Arabidopsis thaliana: one gene and its partners. The gene in region 1 interacts genetically with each later gene. Each region holds a gene or a part of one and is shown on either strand. Other genes may lie near its edges.

Region 1 (11,337 bases):
GTTACGCCAATCTGAGTTACCAATTCTTGAGGAACTTGGTTGCCATCCATATCAAACAGAGCATAGCTACAGAAACAAAAGAATTGCACTGTGAGTTTTAAGGTGTCAAACAAGAATAAAAAGATGGAGGTAACAAAATCGAAATATTCAAGCAAACCTCTCGAGATCATGATCATACAGGACGGAATTGTCACCGCTAGTACGATACAAGGGCAGTCCAAGTCTTCCAATAACTGGTGCGAGAGGATTCTCCTTGCATACTCCATGCAGCCTGTGACATAACGATGTTGCTGTGTTAGCCTAAAGTTAACCAAAAACCAAAACCAAAACATCATCTAATGACAGGATGAAAGAGCCGTGAGATTACCATGATGCACCAAGATCAACAGGAAAACCAAATGAGTAATCAGTGTGAACTCGTCCACCAATTCTGTCACGGGACTCCAGTACCATAACCTAAACACCAAGAACCACACCGTGAGAAAGAGATATCAAAATCAGCTATCAGGATATATTGTATAAAACATGAAACATCACAAACCTGAAAGGAAGCATCCTGAAGAGTGCGAGCAGCTGAAATCCCACCGAAACCACCTCCGATCACAATCACGGAGGGCGACCTTGTCTTCATCCTCTCACCAGCTGAAAAGCAATTAGCTATATGAAAACAAAGCACACGAATTAACGACCGTCCAAAGTCCAATAAAGTATCAATTCTTCTAACAAAGAAACAATAGTGATTATCAGAATTAAACAACCCCACAAAAACAAAACTTGTGGCAATCAGCAGATACATCCAAACAAGTAAACGCCACGAAGGAATCAAATCACCGACAGAGAATTCAGCACGAGGGATAAAATTGAGGACCCATTAAAAAAAAAATCAAATTTTGTTTGATAAACCAAATTACCCAGATTATAATCTAGAGTAAGAACCCTAGATCCTTCCTATACATCAACGATAACAATCCGTAAGCGATTTCACAAAAAAGTAACAGACTTTTCGATGGAGGTTGAAGAAAACAGTACCTCTACGCATTTGACGATCAGAGTTTTTCCTGGACTCCATGATTTTTTTTTCAATTGATCAAACGATTACTCTCGAGATTATTGGAATTACGATTACTATTATTATTATTATTATTACTATTAAGCTGGGGAGAGAAATGAAGAATAAAGATGAGAAGACAAGTCGTGAAGTGGCTCGAAATCGAAGATGAAAAAATCAGGCTTCCAAACAAATTCATGCGATTTTCTTCAGGATTTTTAAACCCCCTCTCTGTTTTTGGTTTTTGTTCACCCTGTTTACTCAGCCGGACAGTATCAACGCAGATCTACGACGATCGGCGATATCTGATTCGTAATTCAAGCGAGCAATGGGGGCCAAAGGATCAAAATTCCCAGAAAAGCCAGAAACGAGGAAGAAGAGCTAGAGAGAGAGAGAGAAAGATGAAAACAGAGAGACTTCTAGAGAGAGAAAACAAAAAAAGGTCGGATTTTTTAGGCTTTGGGTCGGTAAAGTAGGTTAGGTTGTAATTTATAATAACGCATATGCTCCCTAATTATCAATATAATTATTAATTTTCTTATTGGATATAGATCTTTTATTGTAGTTTTTTTAGTAATTTTTATTTATTAAATACCTTAAGATTAATTATTTAATTATTTTAATATTAAAAGAGTTAAATTCAGTCAAAGATTTAAGATATACAATTAACAATTTCAAGATATGAACAAATTATTGGTAAATAATTTAGAACTAAAATTAGATAAGTAGTTCATTTCTATATTATTTGCTAATTATATAGCTTCTAGTATATGTTAATATTACTTTTTCAAAATTTAAATATTTTCTTTTATCAATAACAAAAATTGTGAATTTAGTTCTCTGTTATCACGTGTTCGTTTCGGTAAGCTTGATAAGTTACGTAACTTATCAAGTGGTCCAGTAGGAGCACGTGTCGTGCATTTATACGTTTTCCATCAAATTAAAATGTCAACACGTCAGCTTTTATGTCTGTATCTGGTAAATAATAAATATTTTGTTTCTTAAGACCTGACGATGTAAATTCTTTTAAAAAAGGTTTCTAGACGATTCTAATGATTTTAATAGGTATGATATTGATAGCTATGATGAGTTTCGTAAGAATTGAAGACGAACTTTTACCATAAAATTCCAACGTTTACTGGATTTTTATCCTTTTTTTAAGAAATTTTTAGTTTAATTCCATGAGCTATGATTTACGAGTAAATTACTCAAATGCAATTTAAAAACTCAAATACTTAAATACAATTATCTGGGCTTGATGGCTGAGTTTAGTTATTGTTAAAGCTAATATTTTTTTGACATTGATAATGATTTTGAATTATTGACATGATGTTATAACTTTCTTAGTAGTTTTTTGTGTGGATAGTAATAAAAATGTTTTTCTAAAGATAAACAAAAAAGTGGTGGTACTATTTGTGTAGCTTTTTTCTGCTGATACTATTTGCGTTTCTTTTCAAGCAAAAAACTACAATTTACAATGGATTTTGATAAGTGTGCGATATATACAAAATTAGATCACATGGAAGATCAGTATTCCTATAATCCTATTTCTCTTCTTTATTTGAGATGGTGACATTGGGTAATACAGTTGTCGAATCATTTGCTATGGGTTACATGACTGGATTCTCAAACCTCACGAAAGTCAAGAGAAATGAATGGAGGATCTCACTACATAGAAACTAGAGGACTTCAAAATCTATCTAGTCCAGATGAGTGACTATATGGTTTTGGTATTAGAAAATCATTATCTATTGTGATACTAGAGGCTAGTGCTGTAAAGACGGTATGACCAAGATTTAAAACATACAGAAGAAATCTCTGGTACTGAAAGAGAATGTGAAACGAACTAAAAGAATCTATGCCAAATGAAGTCCAAGAAAGAGATTTTACTCCGTAGAGATCAGTGAAATATCATTGCTTTTTTCATACAAAAAAAGAAAGAAATATTATTGCTTTTGACTTTAGTTTACGGAAGATCATAAGTTGGCCGGGTCGATCAAGTCGATCAAACACAAAACAAAAGTCACGATTATAAACAATCCACTAAAATCATATCCGTGAACTACTCCTGCTCCAAACCAAATCTTGAATGAAATGGAAGAAACTCATCTTAGCATTTTAATTTAATAGTATATGATTTACATGATTTGAAGACCAGACACCTATTGATGAAGCATATATTATATATTATTTTTATTTTTTTGTATTTCTAGTGATATTTAACACATTTTTTATTTTGCCACTAAAATAATGTTATGTGGATGTTCCACGAAGATTGAAACATGATTGATGATATGGGTGTCTCTGTCTGAATGTATGTATCCAACCTTTGATCGGTTCAACTTTTACTATTGTTAAGTGTTTTCGATCGACTATTTCAAACTTTGGAATAAATTTATATATGAAAACAGTATGCAAAAATATCTAAGATATTTAACTCAATTATTGCTAAATAGATTCTGACCAGTATGCACATGGCTTAAAGACTTATAATGTCGATGTTTTTGACAATTGACACATGACTCTCACTCAAATCTGGCTCCATCACATGTGATTTGGCTTTTTCCATCTATACATAATTTTAGACAATCAGCAAGAAAAGCTTATGTTATGATTTTTTATTTATTTATGGAACAATATGAAATCATAAGATATTAATATTTTACCAAACTCTAGCCAGACGGTTGATCATCTGTGTTTTTCTTAAAGTTTTTTTTTGTGTTTCTTATTTTTTGAATATGAACATATGATTTCTTATTAGGGGAACAGAGAAAAATTGAATGGACTTTTAGATACATCTTCAAAATTAGGTGTGATCTATAATCTATAAGTGTCATCTAGTTCTATTTTCGAAAAAAATTTCGATTACTTAGATATATCCTTGTTTTGATTAGAAAATAAACTGCATCCCAAAGTTTTTACGATTACAAAAATCACATGTCCTGTTTTTAAGATGTTGTTTACAAAAAATCTCATCATGTCATTTTGACATACATAAACTCACATATACAGAAAATAACGTAATGAAGTTGCACGTTTACTCTATAATAATACATCCTTGAACGTTTTAAGTATGTTCAGAAAGATAGATATAAAAAAGAAACATACCAAAAATAAGGAAGTAAAAAAGTGGCTCACCAACCTAGTGGTCCAAACGAGAACCGTCGGTGGTCTTCGTCGGCACAGACGACGGTTGTTGACTTTGCTGTCCCGCCGGTGAACTAAATCTCAACATCTCCATCGGCTGCATCTAATAAAAAACCACACAACGTGTCAACTAAAACTACGTCGGTTTAACATTTTTTCTTATCTCGTATTAATGTAGTAAACCCAAAAAACATTTTACCAAAATCGTCGTTTAATAAACACGGCTTCGTATTGGCCTTACCTGAGTCGCGGCCTGCATGTGTGGGAACCCACCGATGTATCTAGCAAACCGGTCGGAGATGATCTGGTTTTGTACCGGGTTTTGGCAAACTAAACCGGGATTGTTCTGAATTGCAGACTGATCCATAACCGGAAATCGAGGTAACTGTACCGGGCTCTGTATCTGACGTATGAACTGCTGAGGTTGAACTCCGGGGAACATCATCGGAGCCGAAGCCGCCGCCGCCGCCATTCCACTCCCCATCCACATCACTTGAAGCTGTAACTGAAGTGATTTCAAATAATCTATGGCTTCGTCTAAAATCGAAGCTTTATCAGTCTGCAAAAACACACCAATGAATGAATCAATCTTCATTTCTTAATCTGATTCACTTTTAGATTTGATTTGTATCAACTCACTTTACTGCAGTGAGGTATTAGTTCTTGCAAAGCCTTCATTCTCTCATTGATCCTATCTCTCCTCCTCTATTTAAGTTATGAAAAGAAGAAAATAAAAAACAGAGTTTTGTATCTGTTTTCTTTGTATAAATGTTATACGATTCTCTAACATTAAACTATATATTATATATTATATAGACGAACCGATGAAGTACCCTTTCGGAGAGATTATGAACTTCAGCTGCTCGACTCCTTCGGTTTGATCCTGATCGTTGGTTCGACTTGTTACCGATTGCCTGCAAAATGTATTATGTATTACTCTCTGAGATAGACCAAGATTACGTTTTCAAGAAGTAATTATCATGAGTTAGAATTAAAGGAAGCATACATCTGATAGAGATACAGATTCGTCAGTGTGATTTATACGTTTTCTCTTACGGTCGGTTGTGATGCATCTTCCACTAGCCATTTCTTTGATATCTTTGCCAAAGCTGCAACCAGAGGAGCCACCTGATGAGGAACTTGCGTTCGGATTAAGCTTTTCTTCTATGTTTTTGCTTCGATCATGACTCATTGAGACATCGAGATCGTTCTGTGATGGGTTGCTTCCGCAATGGCTAGGTCCAACGGTCGTTACCGAGTACTGTTCCATTTCTGTTTCCCTAATCCCCGATGATGAATTTGTTAACCTAAATTTTGGAGGAGGCATGACTTGAGGAGGAGGGTCAGGACAGGCCTTAGGCTTAACCATGACTTGAGGAGGTTCAGGACTGGACTTAGGCTTAACCGTCTCTGAGGTTGGTCTCTGGAGGGGATCCATGGTTGAGAAGAAGTGGGAGGAGAAGTCGTCGGGTTCGAATGGGTCTTCATCTGGAGGGTATTGGATCCAAGAGACAGTTTCTTGATCTTCAAGAAAGGTGCTGGATCTTAGGGCTTCTTCATGATGATCTTGTTTCTGGGTTTGGGTTTGTTCTCTATGAGTTTGGCTCTGCAGAACCACTTGTCCATCTCGCCATAATAACTCCACTAGTTCATCTTGTGGCCTAGACATCAATACACACACACACAGACTATATTATAAAGTTTTTTTTTTAATGAATGAAAACATTAGATCAAAGATTATTAAATAATACCTGATAGATCTTCTATTAGTGGACAAACTATAATTCTCCTCAAAACTCCAACCTTGGTGTTCCATGTCAGATCTCTGGAGACATTTCAAAATAAAAAGAAAAAAAAGTTTTATTAACCTCAGAATATATTTTATAGCACTAGTGAACAGAGCTAATGATAACTTATGATTAAGAGATACAAGGAGGAGCATATATAAAATCGAATTTTATAATTCAGAGTCCTAATAGTTTATTTACTCTAATCATTATAGAATGATTTTAAAATAATTAAAATTTAAAGCAAGTCCATGAGTCCGTTCTCTTGTTAAACATCTTTTTTTATATTCTGGCAATCTAGGAAAGCTTGCAAAATAGTTATTTCCAAATATAGCCACATCTTATAAAACCAAAAACCCGTATAAAAAGAGTACTACTGACCAGATTAGGAAAGCTTCTGGACGAATCAGAAGTTGAAAGAGAAGATCTATATAACCTGATATGTGGAACTAGTCCAAGTTCCACGCCCAACACAACTCTCTATCTCTCTCCTCTCACTCTAAGAGACCAGAAAATTGTTGAGAAACAACTCACAAAACATGAAAGAAACAGAGAAGAAGAAGATGAGAGAGGTTCATTACTTCTTTTGGGTACAGACAGAAAGTGACAGGAGCATAAAGATATTACAGCGAGGGAGATAATGATTCTCTAGGGACAACAGTACTGCAATCTTTTGAAATGAACGACACGTGGCAAGTTCTGGGACATTGTGTTGGAATCAGTGGGACACATACAAGTGAAGATCTCTCTCTTCTTTTAAGCGATGAGATCTATTGCTTGATTTTTAGAGGTGGTTTCTTATCTGTACCTTATCTAAAAAAACTCTGAAAACAATGATTTGAGGGTGTTTTTGTCAAATCACAATCATCTATAGCGTTATGGTTTTTGTCGATACCTTTCTCATATATACCAAAATTATCTTTAACTTGACGTTTTATTCTTCAAGTCTTTTGCTATACGTCAAATTTAATTACGTGTTTGTTTGTTATCTACGATGTATATAAAAGATGATTTATTATCCGAGTTCAATGCTCTCAACGAGTTTATAATTGTTCATATCATCGTTTTTGGCGTTTATCACGTTGCATTGAAAGGGCACCCTTGGCTTAATAAGAAATACAAAAGAATTTCACACAACATACTACTACAGTTAGTTTCTGATAACCTTAATCTTTTTACTACTCACCTAATAATGTTTTTTTTGGTTGTAAATTGGAAAAAGATCTAGTATGTTCTTCGATGATTCATTTCGTTTTAAATAGGCAATTAATTCTGTTGTCGTAATAACAATTATTAGTGGACCATTGTGCCTACTTGTAATGGACCATATCCCATACCGCGTCTCGGTTTGTATTTCTAAAATCATCACATTAAAATAATATACTTCATGCTAAGTTTTCCTGAAATGTATATCATTAATTTCTATAAATTCCACATGAAGATTATTATTTTTTTAATTATTCTCTAGCAATGTGGTTTTAAAATATAATTTTGACCATACGGATTTCAAATTTTCATAGATTGAAATTGTGATAGCCAAATACAGGACGCGGAATGAACGGATCAACAGAACAATGACAACCAAACTGCAACTGCATTTTATTAAAAATTTAGGTGACAAAAACATAAAACATTAATTTTCATACTATAGTCTTCAATTATGTGTACCAGGTAATTGGAGTGGTACGCCCGCTCGAATGCTTCGGCCCCAAATGTGTTTGGGAAACATTCACACGAATGGTTTATTTTTGTGTGTCGAATAAATATTTAAGTGAAGTAGTATAGTAATAGTACAATATTACTTTTTAATTAATAAGACAGTCTAACTAATTTAGCCTTTTTATATTGTTGTCAGTCAATCATACCTATACTCTGTCGTGTACTGAAAATTCGTGATGGTGTTACGGTGTATGTAATTACTGATTAGTAAGATATTACTTTGCTGAAAAACATAAATTGTTTCAGCGCAGACAGTAACAATAAAATACTATTGGGCCTTACTGTCTAAAAATAATAATAAAATACTTATGGGCTTCTGAGTAAAGCCCAAACACTACACTTTGTTGTACGAAACGAGACCCAATATATTTTCTTAAGACGAAAAGAAACTTGTCGGCAGATTGGCGGCGGAGAGGAAGGAGAATTGAAGACTTGTTGCGGCGGTTAAAATAACTGTTGCTCCGCCGCTTCCACCGACCTCATGATAAATGTGGAAATTCATAAATGTAAATCAAAATGCCAAAGTTTTCTACTTTTCTTGCTGTCTTTCTAATTTTGATTGTTGTTTAAATTTTCTTTGTTGTAAGTATGAACATTCCCTTTTTAGAAACCTGATACTGATTGATACCATTCAATGTTTCCCTCCTTTTTCATGTTGAATAAATTTAGAAAAAGTTTATGAAGTTGAAAATTTGGATATTATGTTCCTTTGACTCTCTTCCTTCTTTGAAAACCTTTCTTAATTTGATTTTGTTTCTCTTCCCGAGAAGATTGGATGCGTACTGATATTGTTGTGGCAACTTTTATTACTTTGGTTTTTTTATAATGAGTTTTTATGATAATATTCAACAGTCAAAATCAGGACTTTGAATGTTATATAGATCAAATGGGTCACTTTCCCATTTGGCACAGGAGCTAAATCCTGGCTAAGTTATCGCCTGTACCTTCTTTGATAGTTTATTTCTCCTTGCCGTCGTTTTATACATCTTCTAAGGATTTCTGTCCTTTATATTTTGTTTGATATATAAATAACCAATAGCCAAAATGATTCTAGAACTTTTTAAAAATGAATTTGTTAAGGCGGTGAGAAATTGTCATGGCAAATAAACTCGAAAAACAACATTGTATTTGCTAAGTTAATTATTAAAAGTTTTCAGAAAATGTATATTAGTCACGAGATCAAATAACTTTGTCGAGTCGACCAAACTTTTTTTCTTGGACTATTTTACTAATCATTCCATCTATTTTACTTTCTCGTGAGAAAAATGTTAAGTGGAGTGGGTACTGACTAATTATGAGATCATTTAGGTGTCATCCTTAGATGAGCATGATTTAACTTATACATAGTTTCTACCAATTTCTTATCTACCAAGTCTGATCGGCAACTGTAAGAGTTGTTGTAAATAATAAGTAGAAAGTTGTGTCGTTTAGTCAAGATAAAAATATTCGTGTGGCAAAAATATGAAATAACTATGTTATACGTTGATTTCAACTTTTTAGATGCTAATATAGTGTGTGTGTTTTTATATAGTTAATCTGATCAGTAAACTCCAAAGTTCATTTGCCAATTCTCTATCACTTACTGTACTGTTACTTTTTATATTTATTGTTTTAGTTGGAAACAATTCCACAAAAAAAAATATATGTTGATTGATCCAAAAGAGTTATTAAATATTTCGGATCATAACAGGAAAAGTAGTAATCAGAGTGCTCTAACTAAGTACACTTTGGAATGCAGTTGAAGGAATTGTTTTATTGATTTGGTCTACCATCTAAGTTTGTGTTTGGCTCCCGGGTATATATCAAAATAGTTTAATTAGTCCACAAAGGAGGGCATATATAAAAGTTATCCTTTGGTTCCTATGTGAATCTTATTTTAATAGTATCTTTTACTACATCTTTTCAATATTTTGGAAAATTATTATATGGTCCAACCACGTGACTTCACCTATACGTTTTTTTTTTTTGGACAAAAACTTCACCTATACGTATGTATTGAATTTGCAGTTTATTGATAATCTGATGTAATTACAGTATAATACGTAACAACTACTGATAACGACATGTTTGAATTTCAATTATATATTACATCATACTATAAAATTAGTTGCAATAAATGATTTAATTATTTTCCGATGTCCTGGACTTTTCTGCATAACATAGCCCACCAATATCAAAATTATTAAACTATAAACAAATTTAATTCTTTTTTTATGTGCTTGTAAAAAAAAAACTTTCAAACACAGCCAAAACAAGTCTTAAGACAAAATAACACAAACTTAAAGTTTGAAAGCAGAACATTCGGATCATTAAAACAATAGACCTAAATTAAATTATTTTAGGTTTTGGAGGTTTCAGATTCTCTAGTTACAACACAGAAACACACTAATTATAGGAAAACTATCGCATTCAAAATATAAAATTAATATTTTGTTATTAATCACAAAGACCATAAGAAAGATGGATGAATTCATTCTTATAGAATAAACCAATATTAAATAAAAAATTTCTTTAAAAATAATACCCGTAAAAGATTTTAATACTTGGGAAAGTCTATAAGATCTTGTGTGCATAATAATAGTCAAAGTCATTCGTAATTGACCAAGCACCAATTAAACAGGCAAAAAAAATAATCAATAAATAGATAAATATTTACTATATATATGTATAGAGAACTTTTTATAAAGAATGACTTGATTGGTGTTCTAAAGAGATCGATGTAGTGAAGATGAGTGGCGAAGGTAACTTAGGTAAGGATCATGAAGAAGAAAACGAAGCACCACTTCCTGGGTTCAGGTTTCATCCGACGGATGAAGAGCTTTTAGGATACTATCTTCGAAGAAAAGTAGAGAACAAAACCATCAAACTCGAACTTATCAAACAGATCGATATCTATAAGTACGATCCTTGGGATCTTCCAAGTAAGTCTTCTTAATTATTGGATCATCCCCTCTATAAATATCAGCATCGTATATTATGATCAACTCATTACATATAGTTGTTTTTATTGTTTTTTCTACTGATTTTATCAAGAAATTAGGGACGTCCACTTTGAGATCTTGTTCGAATCAAAACGATAAAAAAAAAATTTGTATTTTGAATGCGATAAGTTAGTACATTTCCATATACTTATGATATGGGACCATCCATCCATACGAAGATCAGGTCAAATAAAATAAAATTTAGTATACTTACACAGAAATATCGCATAGTGCGCCTTTATCATCATCGCATGAAGATATAGAACACGAACTATGTAATGAAAGGGTATTTTATTTAGTTTTGATTTTCTCTAAACAATTTTCCACGAAATTAATATGAGCAGTTACTGTGGATTTTATTAGGAGTGAGCAGCGTCGGAGAAAAGGAGTGGTACTTCTTCTGCATGAGAGGTAGGAAATACAGGAATAGCGTTCGACCAAACCGAGTGACCGGTTCAGGTTTCTGGAAAGCCACTGGTATTGATAAACCGGTTTACTCCAATCTTGACTGTGTTGGTCTCAAGAAATCTCTGGTTTACTATCTTGGTTCAGCCGGTAAAGGCACCAAAACCGATTGGATGATGCATGAATTCCGCCTCCCCTCCACCACGAAAACCGACTCTCCAGCTCAACAAGCAGTGAGTTGTTTTATTTT
Region 2 (10,994 bases), on another chromosome or scaffold:
AAGGGTTCGTGGTGTGTTTTTTGTTTTTTAATCTATCCTTTTAGTTAAAAACTATTTTTTTTTTAGTTTTATAGAAAAAAATTTGTAACTCAATCCATTAAATTATAGTTTTTTTTTACTTTATACTCAAATAAAGTTATTTGCTACTATCTCATAGTTAAAACATATAAACAATAATGTTAATTATGTGGTTAACTAATATTTTAATATTAAAATGACATATATTACCTACTCCCTATGTATAACTTTAAGTGATGTTTAAGAAAATTTATTTTGTTTCATTTTAAGTGATGCTCTCATGTTTCTATGCAATAATTCAATATCTAAATGTTGTTTTTTTCGACCAATTATATTTTAGAGTATGTTTTCAAATTGGTTGAATTCATTTTATTTAGTTTTGTTTCTATGTAAAAGAGGTATATTAAATGAAAGATTTATGTTTTCATAATTTATGTGTAGAAACCTTAAACATCACTTATAATGATGAGGGATCAGAGTATAACATAACTAAGGTAAAATTACAAATATATGGGTTGAATTTGTAATTTTCATAAGTAAATTATAAAGGGTCATTCTGAAAATCAATAACTAAATAGATTTGAAATCTTACTCCATTTTGAAGTATAAAAAAAATGGAGATGCTATTCAAGAATAAAAGCAAAAATGTTGTTGAAAATGAACAATTATGTTGTATATAAGAAACGTTACCTGAAGATGACTGGCTACGTTTTCTCGACTGATGTAATCAACCTTCATAACATCTAATATTTTTTTGGGAACAGCTCCTGCATGAAAATATAATTATTCACACATTTATTATATAAATATAGAGAGGTATAGTATATATAATAAATTGGGAATGGTAATTATAAACAATAATATTAGTGTTTGTGACTCACTTTCGAGTCCAAGAAAATCCACGGCGTTGAGAAAGTTTTGGTGAAGCTCCTCGTCCCAAACGACTCGTCTTTTCTTGGCACTAGAAGCACAAGCACGATCATTATGATCATGACGATCCTCCTCGTTGACTTCTGCTTCAAGGCAACTACTTCTTTTACTCTTGTTAGGGTTTCTTATGGTGGAATCTCCGACAGAGGATGATTTCTCACCTGCTGCTTTCTCTGCCTCTCCGGTCACCACACTCCTCCTTTCTCTCATCTTCTTTACCAAATGTTTGAATACTATCCGTAGATCTTCGGGTCTTATCGGTTTTATAAGATAGTCGGCAGCACCGTTAATCATCCATTTCTTCACCGACTTCACTGAATCGTCTTCAGATATTACTGCGGTATAAAAAAAGGTGTGTTTTCTTGTTGCATATCGAATTTACACTTAGTTCAATGAAATGACATTTTTATTAAAATTATGATACGCTTATAAAATAGTAAGAGAGAGTAGAGAGAAAGACATCCTGCGTGATGATTGATGAGTAAAGAGGATTAGAGCTTTATGTGCTCTGTTCTTGGGTGATTAGATATCTTACTGATGATTGGAAGATCCATTTCCGATCCGATTTCCGAGAGAAACCGGAATATATCACCTTCTGCATTATTTACTTGTATCATAGCGAGGTCGAACCTATTCCTATGGTTGCGGAGTGTATGCATAGCTTTGTTCACTTCGTTGCATATAGTCACTGCAAAAATACACATCGCCATTAATATGGAGAGATCTAGTCCAAAGCATGTCATGGCCTCAAATATAGGTCAAAATTTGGGAGAAATGTTTTAGGTTTTTTTTTTGTCAACGACTATATGAAAAGGGGAACAAAACTTTTTCATACATTTGAAAATGTTAGACCAGCTTTGAATATAGACTTAAATAAACACTAGATCAACTTCGAAAATGGTTAAATAGCTACCTTGGTATTGAAACTTTTGGAGATGTCTCTCCAATATCAGAAGATACGATGGATCTTCATCGAAGACTAACACTCGCAAACCTTCAGGAAAGTTGCTTGAAAACATATCATAGAAGTTTGTTAGATTTCTAAATGGACCATCATCACCGTCGGTCAAGACTCCACGGTGATCCAATATCTCAGCCATATTTAATGGCTGCATATAAACACTCTGCGTGTTTTTGTGAAGGTGTCCGGCCTTTTAAACGAAGGAAATCTGAAGAAATCTGTTTTTTTTTTTTTTTTTTTTTTTTTTAAAGATTGTGATCAAATTTTGATATTATCTTATACAAATATTAATGTCATTTTTAAGAGTAAAATTAGGAGGTGGACCCCAAAATCATCATCTTGTTAACAGATTTAGAATTTTGAAAAATTAAAATCGTAACAATTAAAAACTATAATGTGTTAAAACAATTAAAATCCTCTCCTAAGATAACACGCCACCATCTATTCGTTTTAATAAAACCGTTATCACGATCTTCATCTCTTTTTGCAAAGCTTCTTCATGATCATAATTTGAGTTTTTCAAAATTAAAATGGATCCTCTAAGCTTTTATTTATTTATTTAATTTATATAGTTAGATCCAAAGCTAAACAAAGGTAAAAAAAAAAAAAGGAATAAGATTCTTACAATTTAGAAAAACTATAAACATTGTGAGGTAAAAACTCAACTAATTAATGTATGTCTAACTATCAAATATAACAAACTAAACATTTTGCTATAAAAACTCAACCAGTCAGTTTAAAACACTCATAAACATAAAATTGCTATATAGAGAAATGACTCTTGTGTCAAAATTAAATTACTATCCAAATTTTCCTTATTGATTTCAAAAATTCAAAATTTGTAATTTTGTTTCATGTATTTTCTTTTTTGAATTTTTATTTAAAATATTTTAGTGGATTTATCATAAGGAGTTTCGAAGTTAACATTAGTGATATGAAAATATATAAAGAGAAAAATCAAACAGAAACAAAAGTTTAAGAGATCGGATGAAACTAAATTGGTCGAAATGAATAGATATTTAATCAATAACAAAAGGAAATAGCTATTGAAAATTGTGAAAACAAATGACAGAAAAATGGTTTTGAGAAATATGTCAACAAAAAAAAAGAGTTGGAATTAAGCATCAAACTACTTCTATAAAATTTTAATAGAGATATTCTTCACTAATTACTCCAACAACCTTTAATTTTTATAACAAATTGCAGTTTTTAAAAAATCATAAGTAAATGAATGAACGATGAAGTATCACATTTATGTTAATTTCAGTTCGAATTATGAATAAAAAACCAAAATACTTGTTAAGAAAAAAAAACCAGTTTGTTTTTGTTCTTAACAAAAAAAAGGAAATTGGGGATCTTTTTGTGCGTGACCATAAGTATTTTTACTTTACAAAATTTGCATGCATAAATTTTAGTATTAAAATAATATATTTACTTTATAAAAACTCATATGATATTGGCTCTAAAAAAAATAACAAGACTAAATTAAAAGTGAAGTTAACCATGATAACTGTAAGAAACATTGTTAGGATTAAAATCTTATAAGGTAATATCATACTTTAATTTATGAAAAAAAGAAAGTCTTAGAGAGCCTTACTTATTAATTTTTTAAATAAAATTCTCTTGAACAATATCTTCCTTTTCAAATATTAATGTAAAACTTTTTTTTTTTTTAATACCAATATTAATGTAAAACTTATGTAAACCAAAACCTTCTACATCGTCGTTAGCAACCGGTTTAACAATTTTTATGAGTTGCTTTCTTTTTTTAATTATCACTTTAGGTGACTCTCCTTTTCAGTTGCTTTTAAACCTTGTACTGTTCTCCCACTTCTCCTTGCTTATATATTGATCAAAAGCTCTTGAAATGTAGGAAAAATACGGTTCATATAAAACTTCCTTAATCAATCTTAGAAGAAAAATCGGAAAACTTTTTTGATCAGAAGTTTCGTTCGATATATGTCTTGAGCTCTAGGGTATAGTTTCAAAGATTCTAACATGAGATATGGTCGAAGTCAAAGTCAAAAGACCTTGGGACTCAACACGTCAAATCACGAAGCTTATAATAGTATGTCCGATCAAGAAAAGATACAATGCTCGATCAATTGATTTTAATATTTTATATTGTAAAAAATTATATAAAAAAAACACATTCCTCTCCATAAAAATTTTGTAGTAGATTAACCATTATCAAAAATAATAGTAGCATAATTAAAAAGCTTAAATATTTCCCCAACATCAAGAAAACCAAGGTTGCTAATATATTTTTTTTGTCAGAATTTTTAAAAAAATAGTGGTTCATGTCAATGTCATTTGCTATCCACTTTTCTACTAAAACCAAAACTTGGATACAAAAAATTAGATGGAAAAAGGAAGGAAAAAACAAAAAGCACACGAGCCAGAAAAAGTCACACGTGTGAAAGTGAAACATAATGAACGCAGTACAAAACACAACTACCACTAGTTTCGGTTTGGTCAAGACTGTAAATACTCAAACAAACTCCGAACCAGTAGTAGTAGTTCTGGTCACAGCTCTTTGTTTCCACTCTCTCTCTCTCTACCTCTCACATCGTTCTACTTCTAGGGTTTGGCTAATTTAGATTCAACATCTCCTTTAAAATTCTCTGTTCTTTTGTATTCCTAATCTTTAACAATTTAAGAAGAAATGGATTCGAATTCATGGATCAATTGTCCCCCTGTGTTTTCATCATCGCCTTCTTCACGCCGTTACCAATCTCGATCAGGTTTGTTTAAAAAAATGCTTGAGGTAGATTGATTATGTAAAGTTTCATCCTTTGTTCTGAATTGATGGTGATTAACACTTTTTGACGCAGATTTGTATTTGGGAGATGTTGAAGGAGAAGACGATTTGAAAGCTGAGTTTATGTGTCCTTTTTGTGCAGATGAGTTTGATATTGTTGGTCTTTGTTGTCATATTGATGTGAATCATCCTGTTGAAGCTAAGAATGGGGTAATGTTCATTGAGTTTTTTTTATTTCAAGAGTTTCATGATGATTCTTAGGTTTTATATTTAGGTTTAAATTTCCAAATCTCTAAGCTTTCCTGAAATAGAAAAAGTTGCTTTTCAGTTTTAACCCATTGTTTAGCTTAATCAAGTGAGCATTGTAATTACCATTTGTAGAAGATTATATAATCAGTAATTTAGGGTCTCTTATGTGTCATCTTTGATATGAGAACAGAGTGCTTAAATGATCATCCGCATTTTACATTTACATGTTATTCTTAGATTGATTATGTTTATACTTAGGTTTGATTTCCAAATCGTGAAACTTGCTTGTAATGGAAAAGGTTGCTTTTTTACGCAGTGTTTAGCTTAGTCAAGTGAGCATTGTAATCTCGCAGTGCTTCTGGATTAGAAAGTTATTTAGGTTCTCTTATGTGCTATCTTTGATGTGAGAACAGTATGTTTTTGCTTTGTTACTAGGTTTGTCCTGTCTGCACAAAGAAGGTGGGATTGGACATTGTTGGCCATATAACAACGCAACACGGGAACGTATTTAAGATATCCTTTTGAAACTTTGATATTCTCTTTTAACGGTTTTAGTAGAGTTTGAAGAGTCATTTTGTGTATTCCTTGACGTGAGAGATTTTACGTGCAGCGAAGAAGAAGGTTGCGTAAAGGTGGATATAGCTCTACCTATCTTACTCTTAAAAAAGAGCTTCGAGAAGCTAACTTACAGTCTCTTGGAGGGTCTTCCACTTTCATTCCCTCTTCCAATATAGATTCTGATCCTCTACTCTCATCCTTTATGTTTAAACCCCCTTCGGCTATACCTATCACTGAAGGAGACTCGGTAGCACAAGTCTCACCTAAGGACACCTCTAAAAGGTATAATTCCATACTGTATTCTCAAAAAAATGTGTCGCTTCCGTTTGTTTTCTCACAGTGCCTGTTTTTATCATTCCTTTACAGCAAAATACAACAAGAATCATTCTCAAACGAAGATCAAGAGAAGGCAAAGAAGAGCAAGTTTGTGCGGGGCTTGCTTTGGTCAACCATGCTTGAAGACAAGTTCTAATTTATCTAGATATCTTATATTGTAATCAATGTATCAAGAAATCATACATTAGTCTCAATGTATGTAGCAGAGGCTTGTAGCAAGCATAATGGCATGCTGAGTATGTTGTAATCGGATGTTCGTGGGGTATCTTTTATGTGCATAATCAGAAGATATATAAGTACTATTTCACTCTACTCAGGACTCGTAAAATTAGCCAACGCTTAAAACTTTTCAGTATAAAACTTATAAGCCAACCCTGTGTTTCATCAGTTCAGCAATCAAATTGTATCACAAAAAGTGTTGCATCTCAACATTACAAAAACACTCCTCGCAAATTTCACTATATGGGCTCCTCAAATCCTTATTCAGGGAAAATCAAAAGACTAAGTTTCAGAAGAAGAAAGAGGAAGATTAGGCTACAATTCACAAAGCATCTTCTGGAAACGAAACAGCAGAGACTCTTAAATCGCCTGAAAAACACGCAAGAGTCTAACCACTATTTGGTGGTTCTTCAGTGTAAGAGAGACTTTATATGTGAAGTAAGAGCAGCAGATAATGGGTCTTTTGATCAGACCAGAGCCAAATCCATGGTCAAGAATGTATCTTTCATTTTCACCTCATTTGTGGACTGTTAGAGGTGAAGAATCTGTAGTCTGGATGATCAACTTGCAGACGCTTGAGCCATTTATCTGCAGCTTGTAGCAAAGAAGTCATCTTTTGGGACTCTTGAATTCTATTTTGGTTCCACACAGATACTTTCAGCTTATAAGATGCGAGTCCAAAAGTAGGCAACGGTAGCTTTGTGGATGGTTGTGAATCACTACAACCCATAGCACCTGCTCCAATACATACACAACACTGAGAAAGAGATCACAAGTACGAGGACATAAGAGGATATTGTGTTCCATTACGTCATCGGGTGCTTACTTTGAGGAGGTGCTGTTGAGAGAGAGTGAAAAGTTAGAAAGCAGGCATCAAGATTTTGTAGTGTTGGACCAACCGGTATTCTGTATATTGGATACCTACACACCAACAAATTCACAACTCAATATTTTCAAATCCATTTCCACATATATTCCAAAATGTAACGATCCCAAGAGTCAAGACTCAGGAAGGTTCACATGAAACATACCATGACACAGAGACCCAACTTGAAGGAAGAAGATCACAGCTCCGGTATGTCATTAGCTCAGGAACTCTTGACGCGAGATCCGAGATCTGGTGTGTATGAAAACTTTATTAGAAAATATTGAAAGTTAATAATGATCTAACTGTCTTTGCTTAAGAGGATATTTACTTTGTTAGCCAGAGGTTCCCTGCCAAATGGAGGTTCATACTCCAAGTACTCGAATAGTAATCGTCCCTGCGGATTGCTGATCTCAGCTTCTCCACTAGACAACGAGCCAGTAATAGATTGATCTTTCAGACTAATTCTATTCAGTTCACCGACACTCAAGTCCACCGGCAAAGTCCTACTGTTGCTGCTTCCTTCACTACTTCCTTCATTATCTCCAACTGGATTTCTATTCAACAAGACCATAATCAAAACCGTCAAATGTAAAAAATCCTGGAGTTCTTCCGCGCAATAAATCATATACATATCAAACAACTAACCTAGGCTTCTTCAACGGATCAACATACAACTGAATACCGGATAAGTAAGGCACATAATACTGCACAGTGGAGTCATTCCCATGCATTTCTAGAGGATGCATCTCTAAAGGAACACCAGCACCGTATGCACTCCATTCAGCAAATGACTCCCAAAGATCCTCCAAAACAAAATACGTATGGCAATCCGATTCACGGGTTTTAAGTTCCCACCTGCTCCTCTACACAAAACAAATTGCAGCAAAAAGCAATGCTCATAAGCCATAATACAAAATCAACTGAGTTCTACACTAAATCACATGACAAAACTCAAAGTCTTCTCCAATTCAACTCTATAATATCAAACAGAGATTACAAACACAACGAACACTATAGTATCAAGTTCAAGTAGCCACAACAGACACAGAATAAGTATCAAGACCCAATAGATTTGAAAACAGTGCTTACCATGGGAAATAAACGAGCAGGAACAACAGGAGTAGTATGCTCCAAGAACCGATCCAAGTTAGACCCATCACTAAGAACCCGACCCGACCCGGAAGAAGAATCAGAAGAACCGGCACATACTTCCGAACCCGAAACAACAACCCGACTCTTACTCTCCGACACACCAAGACCTTTCCTAGTAGTCCTCGGAGCAACAGTAGCAGCCTTTCTCCTTTCCTTATCCATCAAAACCTCATCTTCATCATCACGACGTTGCTTCTCCCTAATCTGTTGCTGCAATTGGGCCTCTTGCTGCATCCTACGCATCGGAGGTGGATTATAAAACCGATTCTCACCACGGATCGCTGTACGTGCGATTGAAACTCCTCCAGAACCCGACATTGTTTGCTAATTTCTCAAAATCGATCGCAAAAATCCAAAACCCAGATGAAGCAGAAATCGGATAAAAAAAAGTGAAATTTCTTTCTCCCCAGAAAAAATAAAGAAGAGAAGAGACTAAAGATTGCTTCTTTTAGGGTTTCGCTTGATGATACGAAGTACAGAGTTGGAGAAACTGAGGAAGTGAGTTTCTAGGGTTTTAGAGAGATTGGGGAAGATGAAGGAAATGGGTGAATTTTTGATTATATTATTATCTAATCAGGAAGGTGATGAAAAATATTTTATATAAAAATAATTCTAGTGGCATACACTAAATTAGTTAATTTAATAATAATAAGTTGAACATAGTGAGAAAAAGTAAATATTTACGGGTGTGGCGAAAAGAAGAAGATGGTTGGAAAATGAAGAGATGTGTCTCTGTGTGGTTTGGTAAGCGAATGGTTTCGTGACGTCTCTTTTTACGAAGCAGCTCTTTGTTATTGGGCTGGGCTTTTTAACGAGGCCCAAATATTTAAAAAAATTAATATCTGGTTACTGGGCTAATACAAAATTTCTTTGGTTACACATGAATGAAGAAATGAACCTGTACAAGATATATTAATCTCACAAGCTGCAAATAACAGGGACAACAACACCAACAAGGAACAGGTAATAATTCTACACACTGTGGTTTATTTTTGGGGAAAAGAAAAGAATCAGAACCATTTGCTCTCTCTTAAACAAATATGAATCATCATTCCTAATGAAGTTTGGTTTCATAAGGCCTCAGCTCTACCATAGTAACTATCAAAACTCTTCAGCTCAAGGCACGGTTCAGGGACTACGAATTCCGAAGACCCGTCAACATATGAGCATTGCCAAGAATCAGCAGGGGAAGCCGAGTTTTTAATCGACAGAGAGATATTCGATAACAAAATCGAAGTGAAAGGAGACTCTTTCGTTCCAAAGAAATATCCAGCAGTGCTTATGTTTTCTCCAACAATGTCATGTAACCTGATGTGACTCACAAGCGGGTAAGCATTTTCATCGAAACCAGAATCCGGATGAGTACCGAAGCTACCGTTGGCTAGAAATGCAGTACCAACATTAACCATATGGATGTTGGAAATATCAATCTCCTTAATATAACCACCTCTTCCATTTGTTGTTCTAAAGGCAATCCCGGATAACGAGTTGTGTATGTGAGCATCACTGACCTCAACATCAGATATACCACCAGACATTTCACTACCAAAGGAAATGGAGGAACCAGAAGCTGCTCTAAGGTAAACATTTCTTATCTGGACATTAGCAGTAGGTCTTGCATACGATAAACCGTATTCATCACAACCACTTTTAAGAGAAATGGCATCATACCCCATGTTGATACTAGATTCTTGGATACACACATTTTCAGAAGAATCTGAAAAAAATAACAGTTTGAGATTTTAGTGCTGCAACAAATTGTTTCAAATTACACATATATCTGGATAATAACAACTAACCTGGGACAATACCGATGGTATAAGGAGATTCTGGACAAGTATTAGCCGTTACTCTATGAATGTATAAATTGCTGCAAAACGAGTCAAGAGGTTACCAAATGATTTCAAAACCAAAGGAGGTATAATAATAAGAGGGAATTTTCAAACTATTTTTACCGACAATAAACTGAATGGATAGTATAAGCCGGAGCGTTCAAGAATGTAAGATTTGATACAATGACATTTTCGGCAGAGACAAACTCGACAAGGTGAGGGCGACTGTACTCTAAAGAATGAGAATTAAACCGATCCCACCAAACAAGGCCTTGCCCATCTATGGTACCGTTATCACCTAAGCCAATGAATATGGTATACAACAGTGAGTTTTTATTTAGCATTAGCAAACAAAATGAAATGAATGGAACAAAATATGTATATAACCTGTTACTACTACATCATGTAGCATGTCACCGTTTATCAAACTCATGTATCTCTTCCCTGGTAGATCAATACCCCGCCCATATGACGGTAAGGCATCCGTGACTTGCCAATGCGATGGATCCTTCACACGGTTGAGGTAAGAACAACAAATAAAAGACAAAATGAGAAACAAATACACAAATGTTCTGACTGATAACAATGCAGAACCATGGAACATTGGTAGATATATATATTGATTTAACTGAAAACCAGCGCAATGAGATATATCCTTTTATAATCCCCAATCTTGCTAGCAATTGGAGCCAGAGGTCATCCTAAGCCACAATGCCTAACTACTGAACCAAATTTGGGTTTCTACACATCAATTCAAAAACAGGATTCTCTGAAGCTAATCAGAAGTCTATGAAACAGTTAAGCTGCAAACTCTGATCTTTACTCTTTAGAATGATCAAGACTTTAGACAAAGAGAGAGAGAGAGAGACACACACACAGACCTGTGAGGCAAGTATGACGGCGTCTTTCTCGAGAAAGAGAGTGAGATGACTGGTGAGGTTGAAACTTCCGGTGAGCCACCGTCCCGGAGGAACATAAAGCTGAGCACCACCTTTATCAGCGAAAGACTTTAGATAAAAGACAGCATTTTGAAACGCAAGTGTGTTCAACGTTTTCCCATCTCCCACAGCACCAAAATCAGTGATTTTGACACTGTGTGGTCTCTCGCTC
Region 3 (11,495 bases), on another chromosome or scaffold:
GAGCGTCATTAAATTAACCAAAAGATTTTACTAAAGAAACGGTGGCTTTTACATAGGTATTAGTTATGTGGAAAGAATATGTACATGAAGATTAGCATATAAAATCACATGTTTTGATACCTGGCATGTTCCTGTTCAGTGGAAAAAGAATTCACCTTATTTATTTATTTACTTATTTTTGCTTCAAGACAAAATTACCACATTTTCTCGTTGTCGTGGTATTCAAGAATCAAAACAATTAATATAAGACAAAGGCAAAATAGGATTATAGGAAGCTCAACAATACTGGAGTCTCTTAATTGGGAAAATTAAATGGATAATTTGGTTAAGCAAAGAAGAAGAAGGTACACGTCCAAAATCTCATTTTTATTATATTAATTCTGTAGATATCTTTTTGATAAGAATCACATTATATTGTATCCCTCAAAAACGGTTGTTTTTGTTTTCTTGATCTTTATAGGGTCTCAATCTCTGAGAACATAAAAACGGATTTGCCAATGCTATCAGAATTGGACATAACAGGTAATTTACGCTTATTTGACATCTGTTTCCATATTTTTTTATAAAGATTCATAAAGAATGTATATAAAATTTTGAATTTTGTCAATATCAATCTGAAGATTACCCAGCATTAAACTGGCTGAAAAACCAATCATATTGGTACGAGAAAAATGACTACTACAACGAGAAAGAGAGTGAATTGGCAGTTTCTGTTGCGGTTGCTGCATTCGTCATTAGATCAATGGAAGAAGCCGATAAACAAAAATCGAAAAGAATAAGAGAAGAAATCAAGAGGTCAAGGACCAAAAAATCCAATCTGGTTATACCTAATACCCAAGTAAAGAGGTTAAGCAAATCATATACACAAGAGGTGAAAATTGGAGGTAATAATTAATCTAAGTGGTTACTACCATTTTTGTAATCATACTTGGCTTATATATTGAAATAAAAACACATGTATCGTAATAGATATGTTTTTCTTCCCCCAGAGGAGAGTTTCAGAAAAAAATTGTTGGAGTATCCATCAGAAAACCGTCGGCCACAAGAGATTGGCTCATCCTCCGGAACATCAGGACTTGCTTCAGCGTCAAGTAAAGCAGATTCTTGGGAAAAATCTCAAATCAAGAAAATAAGATTAAGGTCAAAATTCATTCTTAGTTATTAATATTAAAAGTATATATAATACCATTACTTATTATAATTATCTGGAAAATAAACTCTACTTGAAGGTATGAGAAAATGAAAGCTGATATTGTGGGTTGGGAGAATGAGAGAAAATTAGCAGCTACACTGTTAATGGAGAAAAGAAAGGTTATTTCATTATCTAGTGAATAAACATTTTTTTTTAATGCATATAATTCAGACGACTAGCTAATATATTATTTTGTTTTATAAAGAGTGAATTGGAGAAGAGAAAAGGGATTAATAATCAGCATTATAAGTCAAAATTAGCAAGGATTCAACTAATAGCTGATGGAGCCAAGAAACAGCTTGAGGAGAAGAGAAGGAGCAAAGAAGCTCAAGTTCATGGAAAAGTAAAGAAAATGAGTCGAACAGGGAAAGTTCCTAATAATTATTTCTGCTTTCGGTGTTACTAAAATCAAAATTACTTATATCAATGAAACTATATTTGTATGTGTTAAACTCAAATCATAAATAAAGAGTAAGTACCTATAATTATAAATTTTGGTAGATATCATCACCATGGATAATATTGCAGTTTTCAATTGTCTCTCAACCTAATTCCCTATTTTCTTTTCTTTTCTAAAGATCTGTCTAATTCTTAAGCTTTAATTGTTATGTCAAATATCATAATAAAATGGAGTTATACTCCATAAAAATCAAATATTGATGTGATAGTCGATGTTTACACACGCTCTCGACCATATTTCACACATGAAATGTATCATATTATAGACGAGTAAACACCAAAAAGGGACCATAAAGGATTTTGATAGATCGTTAAACTCAATTTGTGATATGCTCTCAAAAGGAAAATGAGGCATTCTTTGGTCCAACCAAGTTACTCTCTTACCCGAAGTTTCTTTCTCCATTGGTACGTAGCAACACCTATGTGGTGGCCAGGACCATTCACATTTACTATCCTCTCTTCTTATTAGGAAAATTTGTAATATATATTGTCGTTGTACAAGTCTCAATCAATAGAATTTCGACGATTTAAATTTTATTCACCAACTATTGATGTGTGTCCTTTCAATTTATGATGCAAAGAGTAAGTTCACCGATCCTATGCCATGGATACGCGTTGCGTGACCTTGTAATGAATTCAAATGTTATATACATTTATAAACATAATACATTCTATATAACTTTCTCATAGTTACCTAGTTAAAAGTAGAACTCACTTAACTTGATAAATATGATGTTTTCTTCTTATATAAAAGCTATCTTTCTCACTTTGTTAAACTCGTGTGTTCTTGAAAGACTTAAGAAAAATAGAAACTTGAAATGAAAGAACACATGAATAGTTAACAAGTACGAATCCTTAAAATAAATCCTAAAAATTCTTCGGAAGATCCACTGATTAAACTTTGCTCAATCAAGCTTTCAATCTCTTCACTTTTTATCTACCTCTTTATCTCTCACACGTACGCACACATACATGAACACATGCATGTCCTCTGCTTTTATATTACAAAAGTGACGACTTTAGGATTCTAGCTAAAACTTGTTATGATAAATTGAAACCATATTAATATTCTTTAATTTTGATAAGTAACAATTGTTTTTCGGGTTTGTGTTGAGTTGCATAGGCAAATTTGTAAAGTCTCACGGAAAACTACGAGTGTTAATTGAAAGAGTACATTCAAATATCAAAAGAACATTGACAGTGACATTTAATTTTAATTTGTAGTTTAATGTATTTTTTATTTATTTATTTTTTAGTTTTATGTAAATCTATAACATCATTTGGTCAATACAGTCATTACCATCAACTAGTGATCAAAGAATAAGTTATCATAAATCAAATGATTAGCAGAAAACAATTGATGTGAAGAATCTAATTCGTATAAAAGAGAGTTTGAACATCAAAGAAAAAAAAAAGCTTGAAATTGAACAGATAACTCTGAGGAGCGTTAGGATTCGCTGTCAAGAATCTAATGCGAGAAGTTGATTGGCTGAATTTCACAGATCAACACTGGGTCCCAAAAAACCATCCAATAAGATCTTTCCACGTGTCATTATGACGACATCAGTTTTGAAGCTGTCGGCCGTAACTCGAGAGCGGAGTGGGTGAAATCACTTAAGATTTTGATGTGACATCAAATGATTGGGAAAGAAAATCTCACAATACAAAGGGGTTGATCCGTATTTATCCATTTCTCTGTACTTTATAGTTTTCGTATTCTTTTCTTCTGACTCAACATCACATATTTCATTCATATCAACTTGTTGTTCCACTACAAACAAGGCTTATAAGCCTCAACTTATGGTTGCAAGTTGTAACCAATCTGATACAAAAGTACTGAACCAATGATTGAAAAAGTCGTCTATTTTTACCTATTTACGTACAAAACTACCTAGACGGCTATGTATTAGGTAATCTCTGGACCAGTGCACATGAGGTCCTATAAGAAATTTAATAAGTGATGCTCCATTTTGAAGAGTACATATAAAAATATCTTAGATAGCAATATAAACACTAACTACAGTAAGAAATCAAAATTTGAAAAACATAATATGTCATTTTAAGAAACAAGTAAGAACAATCTTTGCTTCAATTATTCATGGAAATCAATGAGATATCTCTTTGAGAAATCTAAAAAACTTCTTCTTATTCTTGTTCTTCTTTCTCCCATGGTAGACTAGAAACTTTCTTCCCATACATTACTTTTTGTAAAATGAACTTCTTAAAAATGCTTTTCTTTTTTTTTTACTTTTTAAAAATGTTTTTATGGTGATCATATGAACAAGTCATTTGATATATTGTGAGATGGGAATGGACAGAGAAAAATTAAAGAAGTGATTAAAAGAGGCTGAGAAGTGAGAACATATTGATTGATTCCTAGCAACTTGCATCAAATATCTCTAGTTGATGCATCAACCTCACATCTCACTCTCATTTTTGACATTCGAATACCATACTATAGTTTCGGATTCTTACGTGTTTACTCCAATAAATATATCTTGTTTTCTATTCTTTAATGCGTCTACATATATGTATATATTTCAACTACGTTTATTATACTGTATAACGATAAAAATTTACATTTTTAAATAATAATAATAAATTCTATTATTAGAAATGTGTTTGTTTCTAAATCGGTGAATCACACGCTTTGCTTTGCTATGCTTTCTACCGAGTAGTCAAATGCATGCAATAACACATTCATGTCAATGTGAGTCGGTTGTGAAGAAATGACGAAAATGCCCTCATTTTATTAGTTTTTTTTTTCCTTAAGCAGGAGAGATGATTCTGGACTTGAGTGGCAAAACACAAACAATCCTTTGCCACACATGTGCTTCGTCCACATAAAAACCATTTGACGTTTTGCAGGGACCATTTTTGAGAAAGAGGAGACAAGAAGAGAGAGAGAGAGAGGCCTCTTTATTATAACTTTCAATATGGATCAAAGGCAGATACACCGCATGAGTTGTCGCTGTGATTGTCAAGAGTTTGAACACACAAAGAAGAAAGAAGAACTCAACATTTCAAGCAAGAAGAAAGAGAGAAGAGAGAAGGTCCAATAATAGAGAGAACAAAAAAAAAGAGAGCTTAATTGTCAGTTTATTCTCTGCAAACGTGCGGCCTAAGTAACACATGTATCTCTCTCTGTTTCTGATAAAGAACTCTTCTCTGTTTACACCAAAAAGAGACAAAACCTTACGCTTCTGTCCTTTTTTGTTTATCTCTCTCTCTCTCTTAAGTCTTAACACAAAACCAATTTCTTTTTTTTCGTGACTCAGGTCGAATTATGGAGTTAAAGAGCTCACATGGGAAAATGGGCAACTAACCGTTCATGGTCTAGGCGACGAAGTAGAACCAACCACCTCGAATAACCCTATTTGGACTCAAAGTCTCAACGGTTGTGAGACTTTGGAGTCTGTGGTTCATCAAGCGGCTCTACAGCAGCCAAGCAAGTTTCAGCTGCAGAGTCCGAATGGTCCAAACCACAATTATGAGAGCAAGGATGGATCTTGTTCAAGAAAACGCGGTTATCCTCAAGAAATGGACCGATGGTTCGCTGTTCAAGAGGAGAGCCATAGAGTTGGCCACAGCGTCACTGCAAGTGCGAGTGGTACCAATATGTCTTGGGCGTCTTTTGAATCCGGTCGGAGCTTGAAGACAGCTAGAACCGGAGACAGAGACTATTTCCGCTCTGGATCGGTAACAACTAACAAAATTACTCTTCCTTTTTTTCCTGAAAGATGACTGGAGAAATAACCAAAAGAGGACTTTAATAGGAAACTCAAGATACTGAAGGAGATGAACAAGAGACAAGAGGAGAAGCAGGTAGATCTAATGGACGACGGGGACGAGCAGCAGCGATTCACAACGAGTCCGAAAGGGTAAAAACTAATCCATCTTTTCTCTTTCCGTGATTACCAAACTACTGACTCTGAGTTTTGATGCAGAGACGGCGTGATAGGATAAACCAGAGGATGAGAACACTTCAGAAGCTGCTTCCTACTGCAAGTAAGGTAAATGTCTATCCTAGAAGAACCCACTTTTAAGTTTAAGAACTTTGTTTATATTGATATCGGTCAGTTTAAACGCGTTATTCGGATATTGCAGGCGGATAAAGTCTCAATCTTGGATGATGTTATCGAACACTTGAAACAGCTACAAGCACAAGTACAGTTCATGAGCCTAAGAGCCAACTTGCCACAACAAATGATGATTCCGCAACTACCTCCACCACAGTCAGTTCTCAGCATCCAACACCAACAACAACAACAACAACAGCAGCAGCAGCAGCAACAACAGCAGCAACAGTTTCAGATGTCGTTGCTTGCAACAATGGCAAGAATGGGAATGGGAGGTGGTGGAAATGGTTATGGAGGTTTAGTTCCTCCTCCTCCTCCTCCACCAATGATGGTCCCTCCTATGGGTAACAGAGACTGCACCAACGGTTCTTCAGCCACATTATCTGATCCATACAGCGCCTTTTTCGCACAGGTAAGACCGCTTTTAACTGTTTTCGAGAAAAGTGTTCAAAGATATACAAATCTTGAGCTCACTTCCATTGGCCATGCTGATGCAGACAATGAATATGGATCTCTACAATAAAATGGCAGCAGCTATCTATAGACAACAGTCTGATCAAACAACAAAGGTAAATATCGGCATGCCTTCAAGTTCTTCGAATCATGAGAAAAGAGATTAGTCTAGCGACCTAGTATTATTGATCCATATATATAGTTCTTGAAAGATTGTTGTATCATGATTGTAAAAACTGTTTTGAGTATGGAAAAAGACTTGCAGATAAAACTTGAAAGCTTCACAACTGAATTCAGTAACTGTCAAAGTACATTACTAAACCCTTTGCTATTTCGAGGACAGTAACAAGAAAATTATCTCTTGGTCGCTCTTGAAGTTTAAAATCTTCAATGTTAATAGATCATATGCACAAATAAACTTTTGTCTTTTTTTCTTTCTTTCATTGTTCGGAGACCAAAGGTCTAACCTTAGAAGCAGATGTTGTGGCCTTGCTCTGAGGTTTGTGAGATGTCTTATTAGTGTCCTGAAGAGAGATAACAGTTTCAAAAGCACCAATAAGAGCTTTCACTTTGTGCTTCCTCACCTTTGTTAGCTTATTCACTGTCTCCTCAATCACATTGTTAAACAATGTTATCATTTTCTTCTTCCCTTCTACTTTTCGATGCCTCAGAACAACTTTCTCACGTTTACTTCCTTCACAAGAATCTGTTTTCGTCTCAACACCCAATCTTCTATCTTTAAGATTCTTCTTCTTCCCTTCGGATTGCGTTTTCAGTTCCTGCACCACCCTCTTTTTGAACTTGATCCATCTCGGAGAAGAATCCTCGGGTTTAGGATCAAGAACCTTTCCTTTCTTGAAAGTCATCTGCTGAGCTAGACTCACCTTTACTCCTGTCTTCTTAGGCCTAACCTTCTTCTCCGGTTTTGGATTTGCTTCAACAACGTCTGCAGAGCCAGTTTCTTTCTTCTTAGTCAAACCGGTACTGATTTTACCAGGAATCTGTTTTGTAGGACTAGAACCACGTTTAGGAGTAGTACTCAAGCTTTTATTCCCACTTTTCATGGTTTTCTTCTCAGATGATGGTTGCTTTTCACTCTTAACACCTTTGACGCTAGATTCAACAACACACACAGTCTTTTCTTTTACATCTTCACCGCTAATTGTCTGAGTCGTCTTTGCCTTCTCCACATTCTTCAGATTCTTTGGAGCACAAACCTTAGAACTTCCAACGCCCGTAGAAGTACTTGACTTATCAGTTCTCAAGGCAGGAACCTTCTTAACAACAGCTGAACCACTCAGACCACTCTCGGTTTCTTTATTCTTCCGCGCTCTATCATTGCTTTTAACGCTTAAACCATCAACAGATTTCGCTATCTCACTACCTTCTTTGGAGCTAGATTCTGAATTCACAGAAGCACATGGTTTTTTCTTCACAGCCAAGGCATCTCTCTTTGCAGAAACAGAACTATCCGGTTTGGTTATACCTGGACTCTGTCTACTCACACTCCCCAATGACTTCCTTGTCGAACTTGGTGTCTCAACTTTGATCACAACTGAACCTTCAACACTCTTTCTCCTTGCAATCTTCCACGGCTTCACAGCATCATCTTGATCACATTTCTTCCCATGTTTACATAAATCATGAGTCGAACCCACACGATGATTCCCACGATAACGGGACTGAACCTGCGGTTTACTTATCGTTCCAGTCGAATGGCGTCTCAAAGTCCCACCTTGAGGCTTAGGCACTTCAATAATCTCTGGTATAATCTCTTCTTGATCCTTGGCTACCACAGCTATAACATCTTCCACATTTTCCACATCCTTTACACGTACTGTTTCCAAAGAGCCTTCTTCAGACATCTTCGGAGGGTTTGTATCGGAAGAATTCTCAATATCTTTGACCTCTGAAGTATTCTCTTCAGCCATTGACAAAATAAACCTGTAGAGGAAACAGAGTGCATTACCAAAAAGATCTCGACGTTTATGAACAGAGCATATTAGAACAATTTAATGGATTCTAAACTGATTCTTTGTCTTTTATTACCTATTCACTAATCAGATTCTAGAATTTGACATCATAAAGAACAAATCTTTAGACAAAAATCTACCAAAGATGACTCAATACATTCAAAGAAGGACAAATGTTGACTTTAAGAGTCATGATCAAATATGTGTATATTTCCTCGTTGATCATCAATGACATTAATACCTAAACGACAAAATTGAATTTTGATCATGATCCGTTACGAAAATTAATCACTTGTATTACAAAACAATGAAAAAAACTCCGATCTTTTTTTAGATAAAAAATTTGACTTCTGATCGAGATTGAAGGACAATGACCTAATTTCTACACAGTAACGCAATAAATACTCCACACGCTTAAAACCCTACCAACAGTTTCACAATTCAAACAAACACAAAAATAACCAAAAACGTATATCAAAAAAGAAATCAAGAATTAAGAAAAAAGATACCTTTAGATTGCTGCCTAATCTAACTCTCAGAGAATTTCCACAGAATAAGAAGAGAGAAAAAACAAAGAAAACAGTAAAATATGAGAAAAATGTATATATGTGTACCAGAAAATTGCTTTCCCAAATTATCTTTAGTTGGAAACAAATATGAAGAAAGAAGAAAGGTAGATTTGATTAGTTAGGAAAAGAACACGCAAAAATACACAGAGGAGGGAAGAAATCTTCTTGTGCAGAAGTCTTGTGAGAGAGGGAGATTCTGATTTTTATATTAAAGAATTTTGTTATTTAATTTACTTTGGCTCGATTTGTTATTTAATGTTTTACCTAATTTTATAATCTATTTATTCATTTATATAAAACTGATACACTTGGATGCATTTAATAAAAAATCGGTGTTGTTTAAAAATCTCATTAATCTCTCTTATATATCAAAATCATGAAAAATGCATGAATAATCGGTCACGAAAAATGAATTTGACAAATTCAATCTATAATCTCCTTAGATCACTATATTAAATCTCAAAAGTATATTATCATACAAGGAATTCCAATCGCTCGGAGGATATTTTGGCTAAAGCACAAAATCCATAATTTTTCTTTAACATAAAAACAAAGAGTTATTAGTTTTGTAACTATTTTCTTTTTTTACATAAACTGACTTTACTTTGTGAGATCATATTCATATGTATGACATTTAAGGGATCCGATACCTTAAGTTAAGTCTTTTTGGTACTTTTTCTAAAGAATGATTCTTGCCAATGAACATCTCTAGATTCTTTTCGTAATTTCTTTAGAATAAGATAAGATCAAGGTGTTGACCCACGAACAAAAAATATATGAATTGTTATATCGCAAGAAAATGATTTTAAATATAGATAATGTGGCCGTCGAAAAAGATAATCATGATTTAGCCTAAAATAAATCTTTGAGATATGGAATTTGGCAAAACAAAAACAAAAAATGTTTTATTGAGAAGACAGAGCCCACAATAATACAATGTCAAGATGGGTTACTTGATTTTATTCTTTATGGGCCAATGAACTTGGGCTCATTAGATTCAAACTGTGTGTTTGGGCTCCTTAGATTAGAAACTGATTCTCCTAAATGTGTGTTTGGGCTCCTTTGTAACATTTGCTTTCTCATGGTTTTCAATAGAATATCAATTAACAAAAAAATTGGTACAGTTTCGGTTTGGTGTAAACGGTTTAATTAGATTAAGCATGCTTAAAAGAGAGAGACTTTGATGAAGTGTTGTCAACTCCAAGAACAAAAAGCACCTCTGCTCTGTTTTGAGATCCAACCACAGTTCAAACTAATCAAAAGTCCCAATTTCTAACTTCAGTCTAGGCTTTTTCTCTCCATGGATCCTTGATTCTGAGGTCAGTTTCTGTTCTTGAGGTTTTTTTTCATTCTGCTTTCTCTCTCAATCAGATTTTCATATCATCTCTTCGAGAAACATAAATTATAAATATTTAGTTATGACTTATGAAGGTTACAAGATTAAAATTAGAAATTAATGATTAAATCATCCAAAAAGTCAACTAATGCCCTTATCCATGCTTCTCTGACACCAACATTTGACTAATCTAATTAAATTAGGAACAAAATTATTATCATTAACAAATACACCTCCAACATTAAGTAAAATTTCTATATACACAAATTTTCAAACACTAATGGTTTACTTTTCAACTCAAAATTCGAAATAAATTTTCCAAGAAATATAATTCTTATATCATTGAACAAGCCTCCAAGTTTTCTTAATAAGTTTTTCCTCTGTAATCATCATTTGCTTGTTAAGATAAGCAGGTTTCAGTTCTATTATTCCTCTTTTCTAATTTTTTTGGATTATATTTTCCATCTTCTTGATATGTTTTTGGTTGTAACTGATTACTAATTCTTGATCGCTCTAAAAGTTCACTTTTCTTTCTTACAGATCAACCAATCGAAAGAAACCAAAATGGGCTTCAACGTTGTTGTGTTCTTGAGTTGTCTGCTTCTACTTCCTCCTGTTACTTTTGGTAGCAACATGGAACGAACCACCTTGGTTATAGACGGCTCACGTCGAATCGCTGAGACCGATGAGAACTTTATCTGCGCAACGCTTGATTGGTGGCCACCTGAAAAATGCAACTATGATCAATGTCCTTGGGGTTACGCATCTCTCATCAATTTGGTATATAAAACAACTTTGAGCTTAATTTGACTCTTACTTACTTCATCTTAAATATGCCTTAAAAACTCTCCTTTTCTTTTAATCTTTTGAAAATGACTCAGAACTTAGCTTCTCCTCTTCTTGCTAAAGCTATTCAAGGTTTGTGACCTCTATCACAAACCGAAATATTCATTTTCTCATAAACTTCTTTTGCTGAAATACTTTGATTGTTGTTAGCTTTTAGGACGTTGAGGATAAGAATAGGTGGTTCCTTGCAAGATCAAGTGATCTACGACGTTGGAGACTTGAAGACTCCTTGCACTCAGTTCAAGAAAACTGACGACGGATTGTTCGGATTCTCTGAAGGATGTTTGTATATGAAACGTTGGGACGAAGTTAACCATTTCTTCAACGCAACGGGGTAAGTATAAAACCTTAGTATGGTTTTATGCAGAGCATAATTCACATTGACTTAACTCTAATTCTACAGAGCTATTGTGACTTTCGGTTTGAACGCGCTGCACGGGAGAAATAAACTCAACGGAACTGCGTGGGGAGGTGATTGGGATCATACCAACACTCAGGATTTCATGAACTACACAGTCTCAAAGGGTTATGCTATAGACTCGTGGGAGTTTGGTATATAGAACTAGATCTCTCTTTTCTTATGTTGTT

What was found.
Region 2: of PIF4 (region 1) and HRB1, changing one suppresses a phenotype caused by changing the other (phenotypic suppression), as found in Arabidopsis thaliana (one study listed by BioGRID).
Region 3: of PIF4 (region 1) and PIF7, changing one enhances a phenotype caused by changing the other (phenotypic enhancement), as found in Arabidopsis thaliana (one study listed by BioGRID).

Annotation. Positions count from the first base shown.
Region 1 is NC_003071.7:17,881,677-17,893,013, reverse strand, and holds PIF4 (phytochrome interacting factor 4), read right to left. Parts: upstream 6,217-11,337; 5' UTR 6,138-6,216; coding exon 5,947-6,137; intron 5,857-5,946; coding exon 5,202-5,856; intron 5,110-5,201; coding exon 5,029-5,109; intron 4,901-5,028; coding exon 4,835-4,900; intron 4,755-4,834; coding exon 4,437-4,754; coding exon of another isoform or gene 4,407-4,436; exon of another isoform or gene 4,299-4,406; coding exon 4,191-4,298; 3' UTR 3,927-4,190; downstream 1-3,926. Other genes in the region: PAO2 (polyamine oxidase 2), read right to left, coding at 1-66, 158-271, 368-456, 542-657, 1,030-1,069; NAC042 (NAC domain containing protein 42), read left to right, coding at 10,430-10,622, 11,046-11,320. UniProt on the Arabidopsis thaliana protein: Transcription factor acting negatively in the phytochrome B signaling pathway. May regulate the expression of a subset of genes involved in cell expansion by binding to the G-box motif.
Region 2 is NC_003076.8:19,954,003-19,964,996, reverse strand, and holds HRB1 (Drought-responsive family protein), read left to right. Parts: upstream 1-4,315; 5' UTR 4,316-4,574; coding exon 4,575-4,653; intron 4,654-4,743; coding exon 4,744-4,880; intron 4,881-5,354; coding exon 5,355-5,432; intron 5,433-5,523; coding exon 5,524-5,759; intron 5,760-5,843; coding exon 5,844-5,949; 3' UTR 5,950-6,125; downstream 6,126-10,994. Other genes in the region: APRR4 (pseudo-response regulator 4), read right to left, coding at 646-785, 900-1,283, 1,484-1,636, 1,862-2,063; AT5G49220 (hypothetical protein (DUF789)), read right to left, coding at 6,544-6,767, 6,859-6,953, 7,064-7,149, 7,229-7,454, 7,546-7,763, 7,990-8,370; AT5G49215 (Pectin lyase-like superfamily protein), read right to left, coding at 9,123-9,769, 9,852-9,922, 10,008-10,182, 10,272-10,392, 10,766-10,994. UniProt on the Arabidopsis thaliana protein: Involved in both red and blue light signaling.
Region 3 is NC_003076.8:24,633,728-24,645,222, reverse strand, and holds PIF7 (phytochrome-interacting factor7), read left to right. Parts: upstream 1-4,457; 5' UTR 4,458-4,783; coding exon 4,784-4,785; exon of another isoform or gene 4,786-4,929; coding exon 4,930-5,350; intron 5,351-5,427; coding exon 5,428-5,532; intron 5,533-5,598; coding exon 5,599-5,664; intron 5,665-5,758; coding exon 5,759-6,142; intron 6,143-6,227; coding exon 6,228-6,350; 3' UTR 6,351-6,623; downstream 6,624-11,495. Other genes in the region: AT5G61280 (Remorin family protein), read left to right, coding at 313-344, 461-522, 621-884, 990-1,140, 1,230-1,311, 1,398-1,598; AT5G61260 (Plant calmodulin-binding protein-like protein), read right to left, coding at 6,624-8,114; GUS1 (glucuronidase 1), read left to right, coding at 10,626-10,841, 10,943-10,979, 11,058-11,241, 11,311-11,459.